Linked DNA regions of Xenopus tropicalis. The main gene of each other region encodes a partner of the protein of the gene in region 2 in a complex. Links are inferred from orthologs where the notes say so. Each region holds a gene or a part of one and is shown on either strand. Other genes may lie near its edges. The genes, in order: zfyve28, rptor and rictor.

Evidence for each region.
Region 1: the proteins of rptor (region 2) and zfyve28 are in contact, whole or in part, in a cryo-EM structure (PDB 9F43), measured with the Homo sapiens proteins. The link is inferred for Xenopus tropicalis from reciprocal best matches to the Homo sapiens genes RPTOR and ZFYVE28. Residues at the interface, in NP_065812.1 of Homo sapiens: Arg54, Arg305, Arg306, Thr317, Asp321, Phe337, Arg338, Leu341, Ala344, Arg348, Leu437, Gln438, Leu440, Leu441, Ser442, Gln443, Arg446, Pro474, Tyr475, Lys478, Leu479, Gln481, Ser482, Ser483, Ala484; in NP_066023.2 of Homo sapiens: Arg399, Val400, Phe401, Phe402, Met403, Asp404, Asp405, Val406, Glu407.
Region 3: rptor (region 2) and rictor share a complex: the UniProt entries of both Homo sapiens proteins name them as parts of the mechanistic target of rapamycin complex. The link is inferred for Xenopus tropicalis from reciprocal best matches to the Homo sapiens genes RPTOR and RICTOR.

What each region holds. Positions count from the first base shown.
Region 1 is NC_030677.2:21,556,302-21,566,272, forward strand, and holds part of zfyve28 (lateral signaling target protein 2 homolog), read right to left. Parts: intron 9,447-9,971; coding exon 9,357-9,446; intron 6,533-9,356; coding exon 6,443-6,532; intron 4,514-6,442; coding exon 4,412-4,513; intron 1-4,411. UniProt on the Homo sapiens protein: Negative regulator of epidermal growth factor receptor (EGFR) signaling. Acts by promoting EGFR degradation in endosomes when not monoubiquitinated.
Region 2 is NC_030686.2:26,902,809-26,912,779, forward strand, and holds the end of rptor (regulatory-associated protein of mTOR), read right to left. Parts: intron 7,784-9,971; coding exon 7,659-7,783; intron 7,538-7,658; coding exon 7,433-7,537; intron 6,653-7,432; coding exon 6,605-6,652; intron 6,301-6,604; coding exon 6,194-6,300; intron 5,585-6,193; coding exon 5,457-5,584; intron 4,862-5,456; coding exon 4,775-4,861; intron 4,592-4,774; coding exon 4,475-4,591; intron 3,811-4,474; coding exon 3,681-3,810; intron 3,471-3,680; coding exon 3,402-3,470; 3' UTR 1,765-3,401; downstream 1-1,764. UniProt on the Homo sapiens protein: Component of the mechanistic target of rapamycin complex 1 (mTORC1), an evolutionarily conserved central nutrient sensor that stimulates anabolic reactions and macromolecule biosynthesis to promote cellular biomass generation and growth.
Region 3 is NC_030677.2:196,993,374-197,003,444, reverse strand, and holds the start of rictor (rapamycin-insensitive companion of mTOR), read right to left. Parts: upstream 6,112-10,071; 5' UTR 5,878-6,111; coding exon 5,829-5,877; intron 1-5,828. UniProt on the Homo sapiens protein: Component of the mechanistic target of rapamycin complex 2 (mTORC2), which transduces signals from growth factors to pathways involved in proliferation, cytoskeletal organization, lipogenesis and anabolic output.

The DNA.
Region 1 (9,971 bases), on a different chromosome or scaffold from region 2:
TATAATGGTTTTATCCTGTCAGGCTGTTCTTTGAGTAATTACTATGTGGTTTGTGTTAAATATGAGACTATACAAGGCTTCTGTCTTATCTTCTCTTAGTAAAGATGCTGGCTCCAGCGGATGGTAGGTGACTGATAATGTAGGGTTGGAGGCAGAGCCAGGGGCCTGCTTTGTGTTATTCTGGCAGTTGATAGCGCACAAACATTCTCTTTTATCCATTGAGTTTATTGGGGTGACAGCACTTATCTCTCTTGGCATAAATTAGGCCCAGAAGAGGCATTTGAAGCGATGCAGGTTTGAAAAAGTCCAGGCAGAATTGGGCCTAGCAGGAGCCCGGGGGAATACCCAGTGAAATCTGGCTTCTGGTGGCAAGCTGGTCTCTTATGTGGAAAGCTGGCCTCTAACATGTTCCATAATTCACACAAATTCCAACTCACACCTGCTGCAGGGGCAATTGGTCAGCCCGAGCCATGCATCACTATTTTATAAATATTAATACAGGTATGGGATCCCTTATATGGAAAACAGTTATCCAGAAAGTTCCGAATTATGGAAAGGCCATCTCCCATAGACTCCATTATAAACAAATAATTCTTTTTAAAATTAATTTCCTTTTTCTCTGTAATAAAAAAACAGTACCTGTACTTGATCCCAACTAAGATATAATTACCCCTTATTGGGGCAGAACAGCCCTATTGGGTTTATTTAATGGTTAAATGATTCCCTTTTCTCTGTAATAATAAAACAGTACCTGTACTTGATCCCAACTAAGATATAATTACCCCTTATTGGGGGCAGAACAGCCCTATTGGGTTAATTAAATGGTTAAATGATTCCCTTTTCTCTGTAATAATAAAACAGTACCTGTACTTAATCCCAATTAAGATATAATTAATCCTTATTGAAGGCAAAACAATCGTACTGGGTTTATTTAATATTTAAATGATTTTTAGCAGACTCAAGGTATGGAAATCGAAATTACAGAAAGATCCCTTATCCGGAAATCCCAGTTCCCATTCCTGTATTAATTAATGTATGTTAAGAGCTTAAAATAACAATAAAATGTGTGCTGTTCCCCTTTAATCTTAGGCTGAATTTCCATTTGCTTCATTGCCTGACAGAGGCTTCATTCCTCATAGCTAAGGATATCTGTAATTAAACTGTCGCCCTGTTCCTAAACAATACCCTCTCAAGCCTATTTTTCAGGAGAATTACAGCGCACAAAAAGTAAAAAAAAAAAACCCCTACAAAAGCGCAGATTGCTGCAGATTTGGTGGCGGCCTGAACTGTATCTTCTTTTATGACAGGAAGATTATTCTCACAAACACTTTTCTCCTTGGCTGTAATTGAATGCTGGAAAACAGTCTCTAACGTGAGCTGGAAAACGATCTGTGAGCAGGAATAGAGCGACACGGCGGGGCCGGAGCAGCACTTCCAGCGAATGAGGCTGAGACTATAGATAGGCCGGGATATAGGCAGGTTAATATACTGTGTAAGGCTCATACCTGCCTGGCCCATCCAATAACCTCCCCTTGGCTTTACTCAACCTATTCCTGCAGATTCCTTCTCCTATTACAGGTATGGGACCTGTTATACAGAATGCTCGGGACCTGGGGTTTTCCGGATAAGGGGTCTTTCCGTAATTTAGATCTCTATAACTTAAGTCTGCTAAAAATCTTTTAAATATTGAATTAACCCAATATGCTTGTTTGCCTCCAGTAAGGATTAATTATATCTTAGTTGGGATTAAGTACAGGTACTGTTTTATTATTACAGAGAAAAGGGAATCATTTAACCATTAAATAAACCCAATAGGGCTGTTCTGCCCCCAATAAGGGGTAATTATATCTTAGTTGGGATCAAGTACAGGTACTGTTTTATTATTACAGAGAAAAGGGAATCATTTAACCATGAAATAAACCCAATAGGGCTGTTCTGCCCCCAATAAGGGGTAATTATATCTTAGTTGGGATCAAGTACAGGTATTGTTTTATTATTACAGAGAAAAGGGAATCATTTAACCATTAAATAAACCCAATAGGATTGTTCTGCCCCCAATAAGGGGTAATTATATCTTAGTTGGGATCAAGTACAGGTACTGTTTTATTATTACAGAGAAAAGGGAATCTGTACTGTGTACTGTTTTATTATTACAGAGAAAAAGGAAATCATTTTCAAAAATCTAAATTATTTCCTTGTAATGGAGTCAATGGGAGATGGCCTCTCAGTAATTCAGAACTTTCTGGATAAGGGGTTTCCGGATAAGGGATCCCATACCTGTATCATGGAAATAATTAATTGCTGATGTGCGAGACAAGGGGGGGGAAGCATATGTGCAAATACAGCTGCATATCTACCTTGATACTTTGGCTTATTTATCAATTTTAGAATTTGCGAATATTAGAGGTTTTTTTTTCAGTTCCAATAAACTCGAAAATTGACCAAAATTTATTGATTTATTAAAACATTTGAATATAAAAGACTTGATTGAATTTTAAAAAATTGAATGCATCAAATTCATATGATACTTATTATTTTCAATGGGGCTAAACATTCTCAACACAAAAAAACCCTAATACAGGTATCGGACCCCTTATCCAGAATGTTCTGAATTACGGAAAGGCCAGCTCCCATAAACTCCATTGTAATCAAATAATTCACATTTTTAAAAATGATTTCCTTTTTCTCTGTAATAATAAAACAGTACCTGTACTTGATCCCAACTAAGATATAATTACCCCTTATTGGGGGCAGAACAGCCCTATTGGGTTTATTTAATGGTTAAATGATTCCCTTTTCTCTGTAATAATAAAACAGTACCTGTACTTGATCCCAACTAAGATATAATTACCCCTTATTGGGGGCAGAACAGCCCTATTGGGTTTATTTAATGGTTAAATGATTCCCTTTTCTCTGTAATAATAAAACAGTACCTGTACTTGATCCCAACTAAGATATAATTACCCCTTATTGGGGGCAGAACAGCCCTATTGGGTTTATTTAATGGTTAAATGATTCCCTTTTCTCTGTAATAATAAAACAGTACCTGTACTTGATCCCAACTAAGATATAATTACCCCTTATTGGGGGCAGAACAGCCCTATTGGGTTTATTTCATGGTTAAATGATTCCCTTTTCTCTGTAATAATAAAACAGTACCTGTACTTGATCCCAACTAAGATATAATTACCCCTTATTGTGGGCAGAACAGCCCTATTGGGTTTATTTCATGGTTAAATGATTCCCTTTTCTCTGTAATAATAAAACAGTACCTGTACTTGATCCCAACTAAGATATAATTACCCCTTATTGTGGGCAGAACAGCCCTATTGGGTTTATTTCATGGTTAAATGATTCCCTTTTCTCTGTAATAATAAAACAGTACCTGTACTTGATCCCAACTAAGATATAATTACCCCTTATTGGGGCAGAACAGCCCTATTGGGTTTATTTAATGGTTAAATGATTCCCTTTTCTCTGTAATAATAAAACAGTACCTGTACTTGATCCCAACTAAGATATAATTACCCCTTATTGGGGCAGAACAGCCCTATTGGGTTTATTTAATGGTTAAATGATTCCCTTTTCTCTGTAATAATAAAACAGTACCTGTACTTGATCCCAACTAAGATATAATTACCCCTTATTGGGGCAGAACAGCCCTATTGGGTTTATTTACTGGTTAAATGATTCCCTTTTCTCTGTAATAATAAATCATTACCTGTACTTGATCCCAACTAAGATATAATTACCCCTTATTGGGGGTAGAACAGTCCTATTGGGTTTATTTAATGGTTAAATGATTCCCTTTTCTCTGTAATAATAAAACAGTACCTGTACTTGATCCCAACTAAGATATAATTACCCCTTATTGGGGGCAGAACAGCCCTATTGGGTTTAATTAATGGTTAAATGGTTCCCTTTTCTCTGTAATAATAAAACAGTACCTGTACTTGATCCCAACTAAGGTGTAATTAATCCTTATTAGAAGCAAAACAAGCCTATTAGGGTTAATTACTGTTTAAATATCTGTAATCTGTTCCTTTTAAAAGTATGAATAAATACCATTTTTATATGATAAAATTCAGCTGCAAAAATATCCTTGCAGGGGAGGAGGGACTAAAACAGTTTAGTCCCTAAAACACTTCTCCACAGAGTACAGACAGCATTCACCTACAAAACCCACAATGCATTGCACTGCGATATTCCTTTCCTTATTGATATCACGAGTACAGGGAATTGTGGGCAGGCTGAGGAAAAATGTATTTGTATTTACTATTAGTTATCCTTTGTGTAATTAGCGCTGGCACAGTTATACAGCGCGGCAGAGAGATACGTTCTCCCACTACCAAAGGACTTCAGGTCATGCATTCCGTTTGTATCTTCCATCTCCTATCAACCAAACATTTACCTTATTTTCCTTAGCAGGGTGTGGAAAGGCCGAAACAGTTCAGACATGTCTTCAGGTTTGCGTTCGAGGTTGAGCGGTCCTTCAGCGTAAACGACAAGACCACTGTATGGATAACAAAGGGCATTGGACTGATTACAGATCACAGAATCGGCTTAGTGACTTTAGGGCAAGGGCACACTGGGTAGGCTGTCAGCATGCAGACAATGCCCCAGCGGAGGCTGCTCCCCATTCAATTACACAGCTGCTCACAGATCAAACTTGCTAAAGGGCAAAAGAACACCAAAAAATACTTTCATGCACTAATGCAGAGTCACAAGCCCAAAATTTTCCTTTTTAAAGACCATGAAAATTGTCTTAAAGGAACAGTAACACCAAAAAAGTGTATCAAAGTTATTAAAATATAACGTAATGTTGCCCTGTACTTGTAAAAGTTGTGTGTTTGCTTCAGAAACCCTACTATAGTTTATAGAAATACCCTCTTGTGTAGCCCTGGGGGCAAAGGAAAAAAAGGCACAGGTTACATAGAAGATACCAGATAAGCTCTGTAGGGTACAATGGTGTTTTACAGAGCTAATGTTATCTGCTATGTAACCTGTGGCATTTATTCCGATCTCAGTTTAAATGGCTGCCCCCGGGGCTACACAGCAGGGTATTTACATAAACTATAGTAGGGTTTCTGTAGCAAACACCCCAGCTGTACCAGTGCAGGAATGGCTGCCCCCGGGGCTACACAGCGGGGTATTTATATAAACTATAGTAGGGTTTCTGTAGCAAACACCCCAGCTGTACCAGTGCAGGAATGGCTGCCCCCGGGGCTACACAGCGGGGTATTTATATAAACTATAGTAGGGTTTCTGTAGCAAACACCCCAGCTGTACCAGTGCAGGAATGGCTGCCCCCGGGGCTACACAGCGGGGTATTTATATAAACTATAGTAGGGTTTCTGTAGCAAACACCCCAGCTGTACCAGTGCAGGAATGGCTGCCCCCGGGGCTACACAGCGGGGTATTTATATAAACTATAGTAGGGTTTCTGTAGCAAACACCCCAGCTGTACCAGTGCAGGAATGGCTGCCCCCGGGGCTACACAGCGGGGTATTTATATAAACTATAGTAGGGTTTCTGTAGCAAACACCCCAGCTGTACCAGTGCAGGAACGGCTGCCCCCGGGGCTACACAGCGGGGTATTTATATAAACTATAGTAGGGTTTCTGTAGCAAACACCCCAGCTGTACCGGTGCAGGAACGGCTGCCCCCGGGGCTACACAGCGGGGTATTTATATAAACTATAGTAGGGTTTCTGTAGCAAACACCCCAGCTGTACCGGTGCAGGAACGGCTGCCCCCGGGGCTACACAGCGGGGTATTTATATAAACTATAGTAGGGTTTCTGTAGCAAACACCCCAGCTGAACCAGTGCAGGAATGGCTGCCCCCGGGGCTACACAGCGGGGTATTTATATAAACTATAGTAGGGTTTCTGTAGCAAACACCCCAGCTGTACCAGTGCAGGAATGGCTGCCCCCGGGGCTACACAGCGGGGTATTTATATAAACTATAGTAGGGTTTCTGTAGCAAACACCCCAGCTGTACCAGTGCAGGAATGGCTGCCCCCGGGGCTACACAGCAGGGTATTTATATAAACTATAGTAGGGTTTCTGTAGCAAACACCCCAGCTGTACCAGTGCAGGAATGGCTGCCCCCGGGGCTACACAGCAGGGTATTTATATAAACTATAGTAGGGTTTCTGTAGCAAACACCCCAGCTGTACCAGTGCAGGAATGGCTGCCCCCGGGGCTACACAGCAGGGTATTTATATAAACTATAGTAGGGTTTCTGTAGCAAACACCCCAGCTGTACCAGTGCAGGAATGGCTGCCCCCGGGGCTACACAGCCGGGTATTTATATAAACTATAGTAGGGTTTCTGGAGCAAATACAGTGCAGACATACACCTTTCCAGGTAATTGCAGTGCTGGTTACCCCAGTGCAACCCTATTCATCCCTCACTGTACTGCAGTAATGGCCATACTTACCACACAATGGCAAGTCTTGGGATTGTAAACATTAATGCTGGTTCATAATCATCGATCATATCTTGTGTGAGGTATCCAAGCTTTAAGGCTCTGTTCCAAGCACATACAACAAAAGAAAATATAAGGTTATAATATATCATATAATAGACACTGATAATTCTACACGACACAATCAAATTCTGCAAGTCAAAGATCTGTCCACGTTTCAGCAGAGCCATGAGTTATAGCCACTGGGCACTCCTGACCATATCGTCCAATCATCTGTGCACGTAAGCGGCAAGACAAGTTTGCAATCCCGCCATGATCACAGTTGTCTGTCTCAAAATTTCATATGTTGATGACCCTTCTTGGCAAGACTTGGTGCATTGGTAAATAAGGAATGGAGAGGAGCCTCAGGCCCCCCTTACTTCCAGAGGGTCAGTTTGTTCAGATGTTGGCGAAACCAACAGAACAATGCTATTTACTCATGGGTGTAAATGGCCAAACAGCACGATATCCCAGCATTTGCCACACATACTAATCAGATGGACCCAGGCTTCAACACCTTTAGGCTGAGGGGAGATGTTCCCCAAACTGCAACCCAATGGGAACTGGCGAGAAGCAAAATAAATAACTATATAAATAAATAAATAAGTAAGTAAATAAAAACCACTGGTGATTTTCAACCAGTTCTGCCATTTTCACCTAATTGGCTTTGAGCTGGGCAAATTGCCGCTATCCTATACATACATATGCCGTCAAAAATGAAACCCGCCTTGAGAGCTAAGAATCACTTGGCACGGGCAGGGGAAGGGTATTCTATGGAGGATGGGAACAATAAGCTGGCACGGCTAAGCTCTTTATACTCGTCTATAACAAGATTAGATCTGTGCTCTACAATAAATAATACAGGGACTGCGAGGAGCGAAATACTCTTCTCTGCCAGAAATAATTCAATTACATGTATTAAATGAATTGACCTTTCTGAACTAGACTGTGTAATCTGTAGGCCCAAGAAGAGGTCTCAGCAGCTAATGATAATCCCTTGTAATGCTGGACAGTTTAGGTTAATGTAATATGAGGTTACAATGGAAACTTTCCTCACTGTTAATGCTGCCCCCCCCCCCCCCCCCCCCCCCAGTGTCTCTGTGCCACATTCTGCCTGCCCTCTGCATAAGGTACAATTGTCTGCACATCTAATCCCACCACCTGCCTGGCTACCTAACTCATTGTCTGCCTGCCTACCTAACCATGGCTACCAGGGGCATTTTTTGATAGAGTCAGGCCCCCTGTCTGTCTGCCTACCCAACCATGGCTACCAGGGGCATTATTTGATAGAGCCAGGGCCCCTGTCTGCCTGCCTACCTAACCATGGCTACCAGGGGCGTTATTTGATAGAGCCAGGGCCCCTGTCTGCCTGCCTACCTAACCATGGCTACCAGGGGCATTATTTGATAGAGCCAGGCCCCCTGTCTGCCTGCCTACCCAACCATGGCTACCAGAGACGTTATTTGATAGAGCCAGACCCCCTGTCTGCCTGCCTACCCAACCATGGCTACCAGAGACGTTATTTGATAGAGCCAGACCCCCTGTCTGCCTGCCTACCCAACCATGGCTACCAGAGACGTTATTTGATAGAGCCAGACCCCCTGTCTGCCTGCCTACCCAACCAAGGCTACCAGAGACGTTATTTGATAGAGCCAGTCGTCTTGTCTGCCTGCCTACCTAACCATGGCTACCAGGGGCATTATTTGATAGAGCCAAGCACCCTGTCTGCCAACCTACCTAACCATGGCTACCAGGGGCATTATTTGATAAAGCCAGGCCTCTTGTCTGCCTGGCTACCTAACCATGGCTACCAGAGTCATTATTTGATAAAGCCAGGCCACCTGTCTGTCTGCCTGACTACCTAAAAATGGCTACCAGAGGCATTATTTGATAGAGTCAGGCCCCCTGTCTGTCTGACTACAGTACCTATCTGGCACCCTACCCAAATGCTGACCACTTCTCTGCCTACCTAACTGTCTATCTTCTATGGCTGTCTATCTGCCGGTATTTTTAAAAATTATGTTGGACAACAGGAGCACACTTCAAAGGGGAGTAATGGATATTCTACATCACCAATATAGGATAATAATCAATGATCCAAACAGGATCAAAACATTGGTTATCTCTTTGCCTACTAGTGCCACATGTTTCTCCATGTTTTTGGGGGACCAAATCCCTAGCCTTACAGCTACACAGCCTCCCAGCATATTACCTCTTCCCATGTCTTGTAAGGCTATAAGCCTTCTACATTCAGTTCATTAACACCGTCTTCTCACCTTTGTCCTAGTAGCGTGCCACTTTACTGACCACCTCATAATATTAACCCTCTTCTACATGAAAGAATATCTACAGCTGCTACAGGAATTCCAGGCCTTTATATCCCATTCTCCTTGGACTTTGGGCAGACTTAGCCCACACAATTTGCTCTACATCTCTAAAATGTGCCGGTGAAATTCTCCCTGTTTATATTGCATTTGCTAGTTATTAGCATGACTTAGTAAAACATTAATGCATTGCTAATGTTCAGCTGGTAATCATTCAACTGGCAGCAGTCTTCGTAGAATGTAGTTTAATGATAAAGTGCATGTTAGATACGTTCTGATTGGTCCAATTTCTTACTTTTAATGGCCTGCAGCTTGTTGGGGTGCTACTTGTGTATAACCTGAAGAGTCTGGCACACCATAAATACAATTGCTCAGGAGATAAAGTAGCACCCCAACAAGTTGCAGGAAATTAAAACTAAGAGATTGGACCAAGCAGAATGTTTCTTAGGGAAAAGTGGTGGTTTGTCCCCCATACACAATGCCTTGCAGAGAGGGTACATTGAGACACTGCAGAAATAACCTTTTGACAGAATAGTATCATTGTGGCACACTGGGTGACCTACCTTTCTACAGTTTCACAGAAAAGAACAATAACTTCCTGCTGTACGTAATATTCTTTTGGGGACTTTACAGGTACCATGGCAGAGACGTAGCTGTAGTGGGAAAAAAAGGTTGTTAAGCATTTTACTAATTAGGAACATGTACAACATCGGAGGCAGAGTTCTGTTATACAGGTTATGGAACCATGTTACCGGAACACTTAAAGGAGAAGGAAAGGTAACAACTAAGTAAACTTTAGCAGAAAGGTCTATGTAAATACAGCCATAAGCACTCACAGAAATGCTGCACTCTATCAAAAGAAACACAGGATTTCTTGTCTCCTTTTGTGTACACATGTCCTTCTGTGTCAGACTTCCTGCTCTCAGAAAAATCCTTTAGGGTACAGGCATGAGTCTGCTCTCCCCCTCCCTTCTACTGCTCCCCCTCCCATCAGAATTTGCTCCCTTTCCCAACTCTCTGTGCTCAGATTACACAGAGACCAAGCTAAAATGGCGGCTGCAATCTTAAACAAACAGAGGGAGATTCTAGGGTTCATTTCTCAGGTATGATAAAGCTTTCTGCAGAATAAATATAGCGTTCTAGGTGGCACTAATGTGGCAAATCTATAGGCAGTAAAA
Region 2 (9,971 bases):
ACTCTCTTGACTTCAAACTGAAAATCTTTTAGTGGAGACTTAAAAGAGAAGGAAAGGCTACATCACTGAGGGGGTGCCAGATGTTAGGCATCCCCCAATGGTTTTAATTGTTTACCTGAAACCCCCGGCCGGTGCTCCTGTTAGGAGAAAAGTACACCGGCTGGAGTGTATGTGGGCGAGCGCTCCTTCTTCATTCTTCGCACCTCTGTCTTTTTCTTTTAGCTGTGCATGCGTCGGCCCCAGGATTCTGAAGAAAGAAGACAGAAGGAAGAGGAACGCTCGCTTGCATATACCCCGGGGTGGTGCAGTTTTCTCCTAGCAGGAGCACCGCCCAGGGGTAAGCAATTACCATCACTGTGGGTGCCTAACATCTGGCACCCCCCCAGTAATTTAGCCTTTCCTTCTCTACTTTCTGACCTAAAAAACAGTCAGTTTGAAATCAGCTATGAATCCTGGTCCAATGGGTTGACAGGTCTCTACTATCAAATGAAACAAAGCAAACAAAAAAACCCAAAAATGATATTTTAGCCCCAACTGTTAGTAGACTTTTCAATAGAGAACGTCTTATTTTGGGTGCACTTCCAACCTATACAGCTTTGTTGTCAAAGCAAAGTAAAGACTATATATTTCTAATATGGATAATAATTAACCAGTCACAATTCTGGTCAAACGCCTTCATTCTTTTATTGCCTACATTACCCACAACAACCAATCCAAGTTTGTTCTGAGACACCACACTTGTTTTGTGAATGTGCCCTCATACTACTCTATCTAAGGGAAGAAAGATACATTCTTTCAATAAATAGACCAGGGTTAGAATATTCATTATGTAGATGTAGATTTCCCTCCAACACCTCCGTACAGTAAAGCCATTCCTTTTCACTTTCCAAATTTGGCACTTTATACATATCCCACCTAATTTTTCTAGATGTTGCAACATTACATAAATTAAAATCAGTTGATGAGAAAAATCTTATTAATTCTCAACTGAGGTCTAAGGGGAAATTTGGAAATGAATCTTCAGGAAACTGCAAAACCCCCAGGACATTAGCTCTGTGGCTGTAGCTGAATAACTACTTGCCACCACGCGCAGCCTACATACAGAACCCACCTTCAGAAACTCATCAAGGCCCAACTCTTCAAAGGAGCCAATGCCACTACACAGCATGCAGGACCCTCTTATCCTTTCTATTCGTTTAATGTATTCCATCGTACTTTAAAAATAAATATATTAATAATCCTAACTTCACAAATATTAACCTTCCTACTCAGCAGCAGTCTCTCATCTTCCAGCGTCAGAGTTCGGCACGACTGAATCTTCAAGCTCGGTTCACATATCTGAGCCCTCAAAATTCATTGCTACCAAAGCCAATGACATTACTAGCAGAATACATTTCCATACCTAAGCAAAACAAAAATATCATTAATTCTTATTCTTTTTATACAGAAATTAAATTCTGAATACAGTCTTTTGTGTATTTTGTTCCTGTACATATATCACATGATTCCTAAATTCCTCTGTAAATACAGAACCTGCTTAACATTTATATCTCAATACAGTTTGTTTAGCCACTTTATGTGAGGAAAGCAATTAGTTTATGCACACATGGAAGTGCCCAGCTACAGTTGCAGCAAGAACATCTCAGGCCACTGTAATTACGGTACTAAAATAGGAAAGAAATGCTACAAATTGAAACAAATGAGAAGGAATCACACACACATTTCTCCTTGTTGTATTTACTCCAATAATGACTAAGAGACAGCTTCGGGTTTATTCATATTTAATAAAGCACTCCAGATTCCTGTATGCACACAGAGGATGCCACAACCTCTCCTCTGCTTGTGGTGTTAACAGAATTGGTCAGCAATTTGTTTAGTTCAGTGATAGAAGACTGCCATTTAAGGGTTTTCCTATGGGCACCCCCTCCCTAAGTACTAGAGAATTGTACATCCTTCTGTTCAACATCTTATATAGCAGGAAAAAACGCTGCCATTAAACTCTCTATGGGAAGATGCTAAAAGCAGAAATTCGGAAAACCCTCCTTTCCCTTCTTTTAAAACCACATATTCTGAGTTAAAATAGTGTAAACATCAATACCCCAACCTGCAACAGAGAGTTTAGTTATACATGGCACCTGGTCCCTGTTGCCTAAATGGGGTATATGCTTTCCATTGTATTTGTGTCAGTACATAGCACTGACATGCACACACACATACATATATATATATATATTTATATATATATATCTTATAAACAAGAATTCTGTGAATGAACTGAGCAGTAAAAAGAATGACTGTGCTGACAAGGGTTAAGCGCCGGCTCTATTACATGCCATTTCCACCACACAGGTTATGAGACTTTCTTACATCTATCCTGCATTGGCGCATAGATCGTTCATTTATAAGGTTTCTAGCAATGGATGACAAAATTATTCAACATTTTACTGTCAATCATAGATATAGAAATGCCCCACAACGTACTGACGTTCTATAAAGTAACCAGAATTTGAATAAAATGTGTCTTATTGCTAACAATATTGAATGAGAAAGAATTTATTCCACTTTTGGAAACACCAAAGCACACTCTGCAGATCTCTGGGCTTTATGTGACTGTGGAATTTTTACCAGGAGAAATGGAAATTCCAATAGCATATTTAAAAAATAAGAATTGCACGATTTCTCCCTTTATAGTAAATGTTACTGAAATACTTCTCTTTAGGATAAAATAAATAATTTGCCCGTTAAAAAAATGTTCACCTATTTCTGTAGCTACATGGGGTGAAGAGCAAATAAGTGCTGCAAGTAACGTCCTAGTCAACGTAGAGGATGGCCAACATGAAAATGATCTGCAAAATAGCCAAACATTAAACACCAGAGATTTAACTCCTATCTTTTGTTTGATTGGTTTACTATTACAGGAGGTCTGCATAAAGAAACGCAATTGGTTGCACCTGTTGAGGACGGAATTATTTGGCCTCATAGGTTGAAGCAGGGCCCAGTCTTTTCCAAGTAGGAGATAACCATTCTAAAGAGTCTTGTCAAAACATGAGATGTCTTCAAAACAGGAGACAGCGGATCAGCTGTCCATGCAGCATGAAAGGAAGGGATTTAAACTATGGAATCACAGCTAAAGCCTAATGTGTTTCATTCCAAATTCAAGAGCATAGCAAATGTTTTAATGCCCTCACCACCTCAGAGATAAATTGTAATTTTGCATTGAAATGAGGCAGCAGACAGGCAGTAAAAAAGCCTTGTATTGTCATTTCATTGGTTCATTAGCTTAGTCCATTCAAAGTAGTTTTCTTCATTTTTTGAGAAGCAGCAATGAAATCACTCGAGGCCATGGTTCGCTTATATACACAGCAAGAGACGAAGACCTAGAGGAAACCTCCTTCAAACAGCTATCTCGCTCGCTTCTCCACTGAGTAAATAGACATATAATAGTCATTACTGCCAACGGCCAGGTGGGGCTGCAGAGAGAGAGAGAACATGAGAAATTAATGGTGTCTAATATGGCATTTCCAGTAGCATCCCACTGTATACTGTAGGTACAAGTACCTCTTACACAGAATAAGAACAATTAAGTTCACTTGTGCCTTTTGTTGCACAGGTGTCTTAACCTTTTTCCTCGCCTTTCAAGCACCAGAACCCATAAAAATCCTTATTATAGAGACACAAACCCAGTAAGGATGAAAGGCCAGGCAGCTAATGGCTCCTATTCTTTGTCCCATAAATCCATCGTAGTACTTTATGTTGCTGATCAGCTCTCCATTTCCATTGTAAATAGCGATGAACTGGTTCATTGAACCACTAAAACAAAGTGGAGATTTCCAAGGAGAAAGTGAACAGGTTAATTTCCAGTGAAGCAGTAACATATATAGTTTTATATTATAAATCAGTATTTCTATACTCCTCAAAACATACAGAAATCGTAGCACAAAATTATTCTATGATTAAATCAAGTTTAGTTTAGAAAAAGAGAATATACCCTGATACAGCAGATATAACCTTGTTATATGGGACTATATTTTACAATGTCTGTGATCTCCTGGAACGCAATATTATGATCTAATAAAGACAGATCAAAGACAGATTTTATAGCTAAGGCTGCTCATCAAATGCTGTAAAACTGCACCCTTGGTTCGAATTAGCTTAGATTACCCAGTACAATCAAAATCTCCACGACTGCAAGCAAACATGTTTTGTTCAAGCATCTAGACAAAGACAAAAAAACCCAAAGCAGATTTGGAATTTGCCTGTATTCCCTGATTTGCTGTCTTTTTACAGGTAGTATGCCAACATGCTCATTGGTTGGTTTATATTAGGATTAAAATGAAGTATATAGACAGGTAGTGGCTGATACATGTGCTTGGGAAACATAACTGGTCCGAGGGCCTTCAGTTGGACAAGCCTTACCTAACTGAAACCAGCACTCGCTGCATTTATAGAATAAGTACGTGCCACTACACATTACCATGCAAACAGGTTAGCCTGTGGGTGGATATCCAACGCAGTAAGACCCTTCACAATCTGCAGTGAGTTTAAACATTCTGGCATACGAGGGTCGAAGTAACGGATATCTCCATTTACACTGTGAAAATGAAAGACTGGATGTGACATCTCTGTGCAACTGGGTGACATGCACAACATATTTTTAGGAAATACAAAGTCTGAGGATTCCTTTAGGATTAGCTCAGCAATACTATGTTGCATAAGGCAAACGAAACAGTACAGAACACAATTAGAGCAAGTTATTGTTAGCAGAACTAAGTACCTGACGCTCACAATATTCCCATCGGACTGCTTTTGGAGAGAAGTCTTTACTACCCAGGCTGAGTGCTCTCGGTACGTCATTACACGGCTGTAAGAAAAAACATGAAATACAACTCAAGTGTCACATAATGCTCATTAATAGCCTGAATCAATCTTTAAGGACACTTTCAATTTTATTTCTGCATAGATGTCACAAACCTTCTCACATGCCCCCTGCCCTTCTCAGTATACGTAACTGAGTAGCCTGTGCACGGATGTGTGCATCGAGTCCTCATTTGTGGAGCATAAATTGGGATAACGCAAAGCCTGTTTTGGTAACAGACTCCATAAAACAAAACATAAAAGCCTGCCTGTAGGCCATAATTGTGGACTTACAAATAAATGAAGGAAACAAGATTTAAATAATGTATACAGTATAAGTAAAGTTTATTTTGCTTAAATAGAATGACAACATAGGATTAGGAATTATTTCTTAGGGTGATATGTGTTTTCTTCTTTTGCAGATCAGTTTGCAGCTACAAACTAGTACTCTGTGTTACCTTTTACTACATGTCTTTCTAGCCAGGACTTTTCCCTCTTCATTATCCAAATGACTGTTATGTTTGATGCAATACAGAAGGCAGCCACACATGGGCAGACAAGGAGCTAGCCTGTTACCATAAATGAAAGAAGCAAAATCTTACCATTCATTCAGTGCCATCCTGCGATCAAACACTCGCACTGAACCATCTCCGAGTCCAGCCACAATAAGGGAACGATGAGAGTCACATGACAGGCTGGTCACACAACTGTCTGCTCCAGTGGGTATATCCTTAAAGAATAACGACATCAATATACTGAGTATATAGAGGCCATAGAGACAAAATGCTGGAAATCTTCACATTGCAATCCCAAGACATTTGAAAAGAGGTTAGAATAACTGTTCCCTGATTGCATATGGCAGGCCTTTGTGCTTCTTTAATAGAACTTTAAGATTGTTTAATAAGACTGTTTTTACTTTATGAAAGACACTGTAATTCTAAACAATTTTCTGATATATATTTATTTAAAATCTGCATTTGCTTTAAAGTAATTGCTTTAGAGAACTGTCTGGCCATTTACAATTTCTCAGTACTATTGTTTCCAACTTCTAGAACAATGTAGCAGAAGCCAGCTTATTAAAAGGCCACTTTTGCTACAATGTCAGAGCCAGAGAACAGAAAGGGATACCTGAATGTTGCTTTTAATTGCAACTACAAATAATTATTTAACTATTTAATAAAAAGTAATGAATGTATATTGGAAAATTACTCAAGACTTGCATTTCCCTTTAATTACATTTTTTGGGTGGTGATCTCACTTGAATGTGTTTGTATGGTTGTGGGATTGATACAGTTGATCTGTAATCTATGGTAGCCATGAAATCTTATTAACGTTTTACCTGCACTTTTGTCTCTCTGTCTGTGTCCCATAGCCGGATAATTCGCACGTCTCCAGATGTGATGAGTAGACCTGTTTCTTGCTCCCAATCCACCACCATGCCAGCCCCTAAGATAGAAAGATGCCAACGTATTAGTCTTACATTATGTTACCGCTGCTCTTGAACCTTGCATGCATAAATGGCTTCTGGAGCTGGTTCGTTAGCAAGACAAAGAATAATCAGTTGCATTCAGACTCAAATATTAGTCTATAATATATAGGCAGAACCAACTCTTCAAGGTTTGGTCAGATTTTTATTTTGCACATATCACACAAGCACAATACAGAAATGTTTTCCTGTGTACATTCACTTGTGTATGCACAAACATGCCATAGTCAAATACAGATGATTTCTAATGAAGGAAGAACTTACCCCCCTGTTTACTCCTGTCAAGATAAATGGAAACTCTTCGAGCCAGGCCTGTGGGTTTGAAAGGGTATAGGGAAGGGGACAGGGATAGAAACCAGGAAGGAGGGAGGCAGCAGGCAGAAGCAAAGAAAGGCAAAAGTTAGGAATGCAAGTTACACCCAGATGGCTATGTTGTGTCTGGGGGGACAGGGTATGACACACATTGCAGCAGCCAATGTTTTAGCAGATAAGGAAACCACTTATAAAATGATGACACCTAATCACAGGCTGCTTTTATTTCCATTTTTAGAAAGATTTACACCAGAAAGTTAGTTCATTTTGCTGAAGTGTTAAACATACAGTTACACAATATCAATTTGGATAGAATTTTCATGTAACAGAGGGGGGGAAAAGGCCATCAAATATGTTCTACTAACAAAAGATTTCAGAATGGATGGACAATGGAAATCCCCATAATTAGAAACCCTTTAGCTGTTGTAGGGCTACAGCTCCCAGACACCTCAATAAATGACTTCAATTGTTAGAGATACTTTTTTACAATAAAGACCCCCAAAGGACCACAGGTTGCTCATGCACGGTGCAGATTATCAAGCTACACAAATGTACATGTCTGCTAAGATTTCATTAAACAAAAGATTATTGTAAGATCAAGACACCAAAAGAATACAAAGTGTATGATTTTAAGACCTATGAAAGATTCTGCTAAATGTGGGGTTTGAAGCTCTGAGGAAAGTAAGAACTTAGCAAGGTAAAAGTAGGGGATGCACAAGTAAACGTGTATATGACTTCTGTGAGCGCATCCTACTTCCTATGGAAGTCTATGTAACTGACCTCGTGTGGTCGGCAGCATATCGGACAGTCCCTGCCAAGCTGTCACCATCTCTGGATTTTTCTCTAAGTCAGCAAAGTTCTTCCACACGCGGATGGCTCCATCATCTGCAGGCACAGAGGTGAAGTTATTGGGCCAGCATATTTACAACTGGACAGTGAAGAAGAAAAAAGTTGGAAAGAAAAACACTGCTCTCGAGAGAGTTCCAAGTTTAAAGTGATGTCTAACCTGTAGCAGTAAGCAGCAAAGAGCAATCTTGGCCATTCAGATATTCGACTGCTGTTATACGAGTATAACGAGGGTTACCATTGTGAAAGTAATCCAGCTTCTCTCCTTTCTCCCAGTCCCAGAAACTGTTAGATAGAAAAAATAGAATGGTTCTTGTGATCAACTTTATTACCAACTCCAAGTGGTTATATTGCAATTTGATTCGTAACTGATGTAGAGCAAACTAGCCACTCAGTGAGCAACAACCACATTTCAGCCTGTGTAGGGGCCCTCGATGGGCCCCCCGATTGATACGTGGCTGAAAATTGGCCAGGTGGCGACTGGGCAGGTTTGGTTTTCCCATCAGACCGGTAAACAAATGATCGAATTAGCACAATATCACCCAACTTAGTGGGAATATTGGGAGGAGATCTGCTTATTGTACTGAAGGTTTTTATTTAACCAGGGCATGGTATATCTAGTATAAGTAAATCTAGAGCAACTGGACTTGCTAAGTAATCATTGAAGATCTTTCACTACTCATCCGAGCAGCTTCTTCAGTTCAACTGACTGGTACAGGAAGTTCTCAGTATATATACTCTTCCACTAATCACAATGGCACATTGTAACTCTTCAGAGAGGTGACACTTGAAACTCACAGACGTTGGGAATGCTGTGGGGTTACTGTGATAGGATTACCAAGGTTTCATGCAACTCATAGAGACAGGTGTTACTTGTGAGAGTTCTGAAACTATGCAGTGTCTTCACAACACATCCCAGTGGTTGAGCTCATTACAGCCACAGAATCTGCCATCAATACCAATGGAGAAAGCAGAACAACTCTAATTTAAAGTGTCAGCTGCCTTGTCAAGTGTCAGAACACCTCCCTCAAACCTTACTATACAAGAGAGGAGAGCTCTCACATCTCTTAGTAATGACTATGCTACCAGAAGATAAAGGGCAATGCACGGTTGTGCTCAACACAACTGACTATCACTGCAAAATGACGACGCTACTCGGCGATAGCAATACATGTGAACCTTTAAGGAAAGACCCAATTAGCAGTTAGAAGAAAAAGGTGATAAACTACTGACAACAACCTAAGAAGGTGGAAGCCATCAATTGAGCTTTATACTATCACCTGTACCCCAGAGAAACCACCACATGCTTATGTGGTCTCCCCAAGATACACAAGGAAGGAGCCACACTCAGGCCTATTGTCAGCAGCATCAGTGACTTACAGCGTTGCAAAATACTTAGCTTACCTCTTAGCCCCGTGGGTAGGCAAAACAGTGCCTCTCACCAAACAAACAGATCTTAACATGTATGGCCACCTTAATATGGCCTAACTCTGTACAACTCTGCTTTTCAGGTCCATTTGGTGAGAGGGATCAGAGTGTTTCCTTTCCCTTTAGGGTTAACATTTACTGAGGGCAAGCAGTGGATTGACCTAAAATAAAATTGTTGGCCAGAGGGGTGTTCATTTTAATGTTAAACAAGCTCTGGTGCAGCTGCTCCCTCTCCCTGTTAACAGAAGACGTGTAGCTAAGTGGAGCAACGTAACACACTGTAATTAAATTAGTAAATGTGTTGGACAGTTATGCTGAACTGCCACAGGTATTGCAATGGTGATGCACATTTTAGCAATTGGCTAATACCGACATCAATTAATAAGGTGCTAAAAGAATAAGTGACATTCCCCAGAGAACACACTGCAGAGATCTGCCAGTCAGACTGAAGGATGGAATATTTCCCCGGAATAAACTGGTAAGAATAAGGAGCACCGAACATTCATGACTGCAAAATCCATTGCGATCAAAAATCACTTATCTTTATTGATAAACATTATAAAAAAGTCATGCTGAAACCTGGGCAGGCGAGAGGCAGGCTTTATATATCTCATGGTATACAGTGGCCATTTCTGAAGAAGTAGCTGTTTGCAATGAAACGGGTAAAGTCTCTCCACATCTGCTTCCGACCAGCTACACTATCTACATTCTTTCCCTGACACAAAGTGACATTTACTTCCCTGCAGAAGTCGGAATCAATAAGAAAGGCACTGGGCTTTTAACTAGCGACAAGCTGAATGTACAATAAACAACTGTAAGTGCAATATTTTTATCTAATAAAATATACGTGGATTTGACACTAAAGGCGGGTGCCCTTCTCTCCTACTTTTAGAACTTCATAGTCTGACCAGCTATTTGAGGAGACAGCACACAGTACAGACATTTTTTATATAGGAACTTTATTTTGTGGACTTTTGACTTCATTTTGTACTTATATATATATATATATATATATATATATACATATATATATATATATATATAT
Region 3 (10,071 bases), on a different chromosome or scaffold from region 2:
AAATAATAGCATGGTCTATACATCTAAATAAGATACACACTTCACTAACATAAACTGTACGTTTGCTTCAGCAACTTAAACACAGTGTACATAAATAAGATGCTGTGTAGCCGTGGGGTAGAAATGCAAGTTGACTAGGGCTAGAGGGCACACATTTACATTGCACATAAGATCTGTAGAATATGATAACTTGTTTGTATGTGCTGCATGAACAGACACAAATGTTAGATATTAAATAAAAATCCCTTTAAGATGTTACTTCTTCATTAAACAGGGGAATAAATGTTAAGTGCCATTTGTTCCCAAGAAATAGTTTATTAGTTAATACAACACATGAATATTCTTTCCAAAACACACTAAAACAGTGTTCTCTAATTTGAACCAATTTGTGGGCAGATCCTTATATTTCATGACCAACCACAAAATGCCAATATGCCAGCTACCTGGGTCAAATATTGGTCTTTAAGTTAAACTAACTTTAGAGCATGATGCAAACAGTGATACTTTCAGTAGCTATCTAGTTGCTAGGATGCAGCAGTTTACCCTAGTAACCACTGCAATCCATTTTAACCAATGAATTTTTTAAAAAAAAATGAATTCCCTCTTCTCTTTAATAATAAAACAGTACCTTGTACTTGATCTCAACTAAGATATAATTACCCCTTATTGGGGGCAGAACAGCCCTATTGGGTTTATTTAATGGTTAAATGATTCCCTTTTCTCTGTAATAATAAATTAGTACCTGTACTTGATCCCAACTAAGATATAATTACCCCTTATTGGGGCAGAACAGCCCTATTGGGTTTATTTAATGGTTAAATGATTCCCTTTTCTCTGTAATAATAAAACAGTACCTGTACGTGATCCCAACTAAGATATAATTACCCCTTATTGGGGCAGAACAGCCCTATTGGGTTTATTTCATGTTTAAATGATTCCCTTTTCTCTGTAATAATAAAACAGTACCTGTACTTGATCCCAACTAAGATATAATTACACCTTATTGGGGGAAAAACAATCCTATTGGGGTTAATTAATGTTTAAATGATTTTTTAGCAGACTTAAGCTATGGAGATCCAAATTATGTTAGATCCTTTATCCAGAAACTCCCAGATCCCAGAGCTGTATTGTGTTTTACTTGCTGTGATCCAAAGTTTTCACAAAGAGAAGGCATATTCAGAGAAGTGACAAAACTGTACCAACCCCCTAAAGGTGAGCTACCAGGTTTGTGCTGAAGCTGAAAGCACTCAGGTATGGGACCTGCTATTCAGAATGCTCGGGCCTGGGGTTTTCCAGATAAAGGATCTTTCCATAATTTAGATCTCCATACCTTAAGTCTACTTAATAATCATTTCAACATGAAATAAACCAAATAGTTTTGCTCCCAATAAGGATTAATTATAACCTAATTTGGGATCAAGTACAGGTATTGTTTTATTATTACAGAGAAAAGGGAATCATTTAAACATGAAATAAACACAATAGGGCTGTTCTGCCCCCAATAAGGGGTAATTATATCTTAGTTGGGATCAAGTACAGGTATTGTTTTATTATTACAGAGAAAAGGGAATCATTTAAACATGAAATAAACACAATAGGGCTGTTCTGCCCCCAATAAGGGGTAATTATATCTTAGTTGGGATCAAGTACAATGTACTGTTTTATTATTACAGAGAAAAGGAAAATAATTTTTGTGGGACACAGCTATCCCATAATTCAAAGCTTTTATGATAATGGGTTTTGCCAGATAATGGATCCAGTACCTGTAACATGTATTTATAAAGCACCAACATATTCCACAGTGCTGTACAACAGAGGGGTGTATACATAAACACACAAATGACAGCAAGTGACCAAACAGCGTAGAAACAGAGAAGTCCATGGTCACTGCAGGAACCGGCCAAAAAAAAAGGAAACTTTTACAGCGCTTTTCTCAAAAACAGAAGTGACAAAAAAACATGAATGTGAATTGTGAAAGTGCTCATGGGAACATTTTGTGCACAATCACTTTCATTTTTAAGGAGGCGTTTTAATAAAAAAGCACACAGCCAACCATAATCACATACAGCAGGCTTACAACTGCAGTAAGTTGTCTAATAAGTGATAACGTTACAAAGCGAGAGGGCTAACAGAGGGTAAATGAATCAGCAGTCAGAACCCCATGAGATCACGCAGAGCACTGTCACAGCACAAAGATAAAAAAATGAGTCATGTTTGGTCTCAAAAACAAATACTTTTTTCTTTTGCTACAAAAGTCATGCCTTTATGTAACCAATGAGCAGCTTAAGACAGACATGTGGGATTTTTTTCAGTTCAAACCCACCGTGGAGGTCCAACCTTTGGTCAGTAACTACAGAAAACACTGCTGTATCACTCATTCAGCCATAGTTCCAGGAATATATAGGACAGCAAATGAGTTTGCATCTCACTAACTGACCTTCAAGCTGGGCTTTCAGGAGTGTCAAGAAGAACAAAGCAGCATTCTCCCCAAACTAACCTATATGTGGGGCCACAGGATCCAGCCCCCCCAGGGGCCACAGCCGCACAGTTTTGAAACCATGGGCTGAAGGCAAAACACCCAAACGACACATCACCTGTAAAACTGGGCATACCAGGGATGCACCAAATCCACTATTTTTGGTTTCGGCCGAACCCCGTATCCTTTGTAAAAGATTTGGCCAATTACGAAACTGAATCCATATTTGCATATGTAAATAAGGGCATGGAAGGGTTACATTTTTTACTTGTGTGTTTCGGTCACGTAAATTTTAAGGGTTCGGTAAAATCCCGAATTCGGTGCATCCCTGGGCCATTCACATACTATCATAAGAAAGGTATGTACAATATTTTGTACCTGCATGCTGAAATATTGGATCTGCCAATGCACAATAACTGCCAGGGCACGATGCATCGGCTAATGAGGAAGCGAAGGGGAGCAACATTTTCTTTTCACTTCCGCCTGTTCTGATCAGTTAATAGGCTCTGCCCAAACAATCTGTCAGCAATACTATATACATCAGTGCTGTCCAACTGGCGGCCCACGGGAATCAGCAGAAAGGATGATGGGGGGCTACTGGGGATATATTTGTAGGACCTGCTAAAGGGCTGTGGTTGCCTTGGGTTGGTAGAGAAGACCAAAACATAATGTACAACACTGTCTGGCCCTGACTAATGGCTCTCCAGGCTGTTTCTCCACGTGTGTATAAAAAGCAGATCTGCTCCCAACTTCACTGTGGTACAAGGGTACAGAAACAGGTGTTTTTCCTGTTAAACTCAATGATAAAGCATCATGGGCCACTTTCCTACCAGTGGAAATACCACCAGGTGCCTTATACCAGTAGCCACACCTACACATTTATTTTTACTTGACTTTTATCCACTATATATGAAGCACTGTGGAGGTATGGGATCAGTTATCCAGAAAGCTCCAAATTATGGGAAAGCCATCTCCCACAGACTCCATTCTAATCAAATAATTCAACATTTTAAAAAATATTTCCTTTTCTTATGTGAAAATAAAACAGTACCTTGTACTTAACCCCAGCTCAGATATAGTCAATCCTTATTACAGGCAAATCAATCATTTTTTTTTTTACTTGGTGGGAAACAAGTGACTAAGTAAGTCCTCATTATGGACCCAAATTATTTATTTTAACCTCTTTCAACCACAAACATGTTTTGAAAGCTATTATCACCCTACTGGAAAGGATGTGGGGTAATGCATGAATCTAATTCTTTAGCCCAGAAACACAAAACAACCTCTTTTCAAGAATAAAAAACACAGCGCAGTAATCGCACACAGACAGACACAAACATCACCCATTAAAACATATTTAGAAGAACTGAAAGGGTCTGCCGAGTTAGAGAAAGAAAAATGCTTTATACATTGCCCTATGGTAAATCTCCCAATAAGTATGTAAGGAGATTGGAGGTTTATTCCGCAAGGTAATGCTGACCTCTCTGGCAGCGAGAGAGCTACAATACTGCAACTTGCTGCTGGCTCATAGCGAAACCCTCAATACTGTATGATCAAAATTAAATGGTTACAGGCAGCTGCAGGTTTTTGGCTAAAAAAAAACAAATAAAAAGACAACAAACAAAGCTTTTTCTCTGGATAACACAACTAAGGAATCACATTTACTCTGCATAAGACATGGAAGGAAATATTACAGCGGACACGAGGAACTGCACAGTAAGATTTATGTAACAGCCTAAATAACCAAATAAACGTCCTGTTCCCATAGCCTGCTTATGCCTAGAGCCACTGCTGAACACAGTGACCTCTCGCTGCTCTACGCTAGGCCAGATTAGACTGCCGGCACACATACACAAACATCAATATGTCACAGCTCCCTGCCTGAGCCTGGGAGTGCAGCGCAAGCATACAGTTGGGAGAGCAGTTGTTTTGAAAGCAACGTGAATAGGTTCTCTCTAATGCTAAAGCTGAGGTGGGACTATCAAGCCTAAAGTTCTGCATCAGTATAAGCCCGTGGCGTAAGTGCAGCGACCACAGTTTTAGCTCATAGACATCTGAAGACATCTGAAGACAATTTCACAAGAGTTGTCAATAGCATGTGTACACCTGACTGGGTCCCAGCTCCCACCCCAGCAGCCACAGGGAGGACACCCCACCACTACAGTGAGCTATATATTCCCCACTGACAGTGTCTTGCAGGGAGTGGTCAGTCAACAACTGCTGGAAGGCAGCAAACAGGACATTCCTACTACACTGACTCATCTATTGCATTATGCTTTTTTTTTTATTAAAATGTTAAATATGTAAATGGCAGGGCATATGGCCCTATATGTTAGGTGCATTCCTGTTTGTCAGGGGGATCTGGCTACAGTTTGGTAGGAGGGCTGCTGGTTGGACACCAGTATTTTCTCTCTACTGTCACAGATGCTAAGACATGTATAGATGGGCCCCGAGCAATGCAGGCAGGTTGTGGCCCCCATCATACATAATAATGACAACATGCAACCCTCAGCTGTTTATAAACTACAACTCCCAGCATTCCCACAACAGTGCTGGGGTTTTACAAACAACAGACGGTGTTTATATAAAGCCTATCAAACAAAGAATTAGGCTAGAAATGCAGCCCCTTACACCTGGAGTTCATGTACCCCCCCTTACACCTGGAGTTCATGTACCCCCCCTTACACCTGGAGTTCATGTACCCCCCCTTACACCTGGAGTTCATGTACCCCCCCTTACACCTGGAGTTCATGTACCCCCCCAGCCCTTTGACAGTGAACCTCAGATACCACCACTAACTCCTCATATCCTTTTCTACTGCTTTACAGCATGGATCAATACCATTACCTGGCTGCAGTACAGTAAGTTTAATACACAAAATACAATTCATAGCCATCATTTTTAAGCTTTAGTTCTCCTTTAAATGTTATAAGAGACACTGTTCTCTACCTGTCCCCCCTAATGATGCCCAGGGCAATGCCCACTCTGCCCTGCCCTACAACTAGCCCTGGGTTTTCTGCAGGCCAGCCAACACACAGCCACTTTGTCTCATTGGGCCCCATACAAATGCAATCGCTTGGGGCCCATTAGTCAGAGTATACAGTACTGAGTACTAGTGTTCAAGGTCCCAATAATGACGTGGCTCCCCAAAGCCGCACCCCCGTCCCCCCATTTATGGGTGCCCTGCTGTTATCAGTATAGTTCCACTCTCTCCATCACCAGGGTATCCGGCTACCCCCTTTCCCAGAGCCCTGGGCAGCGCTACCAACCATTCCTTCCCTGCGTCCCCCACCTAGCCCAAGGCCAGAGCCCACACGGCCCCCATAAACAACAATGCCGGCAGTTGTATTACCTCTTAGCCTGAGGTGCCGGAGGGAGCGGGCGCGGATGCTGACCGCCATGATGCGCGGCTGGGAGACATTCACAACACCGGAAACCTCGGCCTTTCTCGCGAGATTACAGCACAGCAGGCGGGGTGAGTGGCTGCAGACTAGGGAAAGCCATTCCAATGAGGGGCGTGGGGTGGCGAGTTACTTTGTGTGTGGGCGAGCGTGCGATGAGCTCTGGGACACGGATGACGTTCTATTACTCGGAATTGCCACAGAAATACGTGGTGATATTAAGTTAATGGAGCTGAAAAATGGACGCTGCTATTCTGTTTGCTTCATGGGCACAAATAGGAGAGCGGCGGCCATCTTTGTTTCTGGCAGTCCGTTCACCTTACTATTCACCTCTTTACTTCATGGTTGTTGGCTAATCCCTGGTCATCGGTTAGATAATGATCCAGCCCTGGAATTTCTGAGCTCTTCTTAAAGGGGTAGTTCACCTACAATTGTTTTGTAGTATGTTGTAGAAAGATAGACCTCATGTTTGTATAGTCTGAAGTGTTTTTCATGGATTTATTATTTTCCTGTTCCTTCACATGGCAGGGGGTACAGGTTTCCATTGGTGCCCACTGCCATATTACAGTCCAGGAATCTTGGCAAGTATGATGTGATTTTCATTTTTCCTCTTCCTTCACATGGCAATGGGCACCAATGGAAACCTCTGCCACATGTTACAGTCCAGGGAATTAAAATCTTGGTAAGTTGATCCCAATGTTATTAATAGGGAAAATAGATAAATATATAGGAAGGCTGGTCATTTTTCCCACAAAAGGTGGCAACCCTAACTACCTTCCACTGATGTAAGCCTGAGGGGAGGGTTGTGGGACATCCAGCAGACCCTGAAATGTTTTTGAATAGAAAACGAATGAGAGAGTGCCGATATATATATATATATATATATATATATATATATATATATATATATATATAAAATTTATTGAAAACTCATTGTTTAAAAACAATGAGTTTTCAATAAAAAAAATTTTTTGAATTTTAAGGGTGTGCCGGCCATGGATTATTTCATGCTAAATACTCAGATTTTGGCTGTGCACCCCACAGAATACTAAAAGCCTTGGAGTGCAGACACCATCAGGACTGATATATATATATATATATATATATATATATACAGTGGCTTGCAAAAGTATTCGGCCCCCTTGAACTTTTCCACATTTTGTCACATTACAGCCACAAACATGAATCAATTTTATTGGAATTCCACGTGAAAGACCAATACAAAGTGGTGTACACGTGAGAAGTGGAACGAAAATCATACATGATTCCAAACATTTTTTACAAATAAATAACTGCAAAGTGGGGTGTGCGTAATTATTCAGCCCCCTTTGGTCTGAGTGCAGTCAGTTGCCCATAGACATTGCCTGATGAGTGCTAATGACTAAATAGAGTGCACCTGTGTGTAATCTAATGTCAGTACAAATACAGCTGCTCTGTGACGGCCTCAGAGGTTGTCTAAGAGAATATTGGGAGCAACAACACCATGAAGTCCAAAGAACACACCAGACAGGTCAGGGATAAAGTTATTGAGAAATTTAAAGCAGGCTTAGGCTACAAAAAGATTTCCAAAGCCTCGAACATCCCACGGAGCACTGTTCAAGCGATCATTCAGAAATGGAAGGAGTATGGCACAACTGTAAACCTACCAAGACAAGGTCGTCCAGCTAAACTCACAGGCCGAACAAGGAGAGCGCTGATCAGAAATGCAGCCAAGAGGCCCATGGTGACTCTGGACGAGCTGCAGAGATCTACAGCTCAGGTGGGGGAATCTGTCCATAGGACAACTATTAGTCGTGCACTGCACAAAGTTGGCCTTTATGGAAGAGTGGCAAGAAGAAAGCCATTGTTAACAGAAAACCATAAGAAGTCCCGTTTGCAGTTTGCCACAAGCCATGTGGGGGACACAGCAAACATGTGGAAGAAGGTGCTCTGGTCAGATGAGACCAAAATGGAACTTTTTGGCCAAAATGCAAAACGCTATGTGTGGCGGAAAACTAACACTGCACATCACTCTGAACACACCATCCCCACTGTCAAATATGGTGGTGGCAGCATCATGCTCTGGGGGTGCTTCTCTTCAGCAGGGACAGGGAAGCTGGTCAGAGTTGATGGGAAGATGGATGGAGCCAAATACAGGGCAATCTTGGAAGAAAACCTCTTGGAATCTACAAAAGACTTGAGACTGGGGCGGAGGTTCACCTTCCAGCAGGACAACAACCCTAAACATAAAGCCAGGGCAACAATGGAATGGTTTAAACCAAAACATATCCGTGTGTTAGAATGGCCCAGTCAAAGTCCAGATCTAAATCCAATGGAGAATCTGTGGCAAGATCTGAAAACTGCTGTTCGCAAACACTGTCCATCTAATCTGACTGAGCTGGAGCTGTTTTGCAAAGAAGAATGGGCAAGGATTTCAGTCTGTAGATGTGCAAAGCTGGTAGAGACATACCCTAAAAGCCTGGCAGCTGGAATTGCAGCAAAAGGTGGTTCTACAAAGTATTGACTCAGGGGGCTGAATAATTACGCACACCCCACTTTGCAGTTATTTATTTGTAAAAAATGTTTCGAATCATGTATGATTTTCGTTCCACTTCTCACGTGTACAACACTTTGTATTGGTCTTTCACGTGGAATTCCAATAAAATTGATTCATGTTTGTGGCTGTAATGTGACAAAATGTGGAAAAGTTCAAGGGGGCCAAATACTTTTGCAAGCCACTGTATACGTACACAAAGGATGGCACACCGCTACATAACATACCTCAATTGCTCGGTAAAGGGTTCCAATAGTCCAAAAAGACCAGCAACACCGGGATTTCTTGTGAAAAGTGAAAAACATATATTTTAAGTAACATGAACATCGGGACCTTTCTCAAGGCATGTGGAGAAAGGTCCCGATGTTCATGTTACTTTAAATATATGTTTTTCACTTTTCACAAGAAATCCCGGTGTTGCTGGTCTCTTTTACTATTTATATATATATATATATATATTTAGTCTCACTGAGAAGGAACTTTTTGGTTGAGCCCTGGAACAATCAGATGCTATTTCAAATTGCATTCTGGAAAGGGATAGTAAAAGAACTGAAAAAATAAAACAGTTAAACGCTGCTTAAAATGCTCAATATACAACATACTAGAAACAGGGCTGTATTTACCATATAGGCACTCAAATGCTAGTGTCTAGGGCAGGGATCCCAACCTTTTTAACCCATGAGCAACACTCAAATGTAGAAAGAGTTGGAGAGCAACACAAGCATGAAAAATGTTCATGAGGGTGCCAAATAAGGGCTAAGATTGGCTATTTGGTAGCTCCTATGTGGACTGGCAGCCTTAATGAGGCTCTGTTTGGCTTTACAACTGTTTTTTATACAACCTAAACATTCTTCCAAGCCAGAAATTAAAAAAATAAGCACCTGCTTTGAGGCCACTGGGAGCAACATCCAAGGGGTTGGGGAGCAACATGTTGCTCACAAACCACTGGTCATATAGTAGGCAACCCTCAAGTGACTATATGGTTAGAAAAAAAAAAGTCCCAAAGGAGTTGCTGGGTACATGCCAGTTGAATCCTGCAACACATGTAAGGGGGGGAAACATGGAGCCTCTGTGATGGTTGCATGTGTGTGTGCACACATGCGCTGATCGACACCTGAGGAGTAGATTGAGGATCAGTGACTTCCACAATACAGCCCTGAATCCCTATTGTGTGCATACCTTTAAATTAACTTTTGCAATTGGTTGTCATTTTTTTATTATTTACGGTTATTTAGCGTTTTGTTCAGTAGCTCTCCAGTTTGGAATTTCAGCAGCAAGCTAGTTGTTAGGGTACAATTTAACCTAGCAGCCAGGCAGTGGTTTGAAAGAGAGACATGAATAAAAATAGAGGAGGGCTTAAATAGAAAGACCCCCATTTGAAAGCTTGAAATGATCAGAAGAGGAAGGCAAACAACTCAGAAACTATAACAAGTAAAAAAATGAAGACCAAATGAAAACTTGTTAAGAATAGACCATTCTATAACTCTATAACATACTAAAAGTTAACTGGAAGGTGAACTTCCCTTTTAAACGGGTGTTCATCTTTATATCTGTAAATAAAGGTTTAGTAGGGTGTAGAATATATAGACCTAATCTAATTGACTTTTCCCATTACAGTAGTCTTCATTCTGCATGAATTTGTCTTTCTATTATTAACCTTC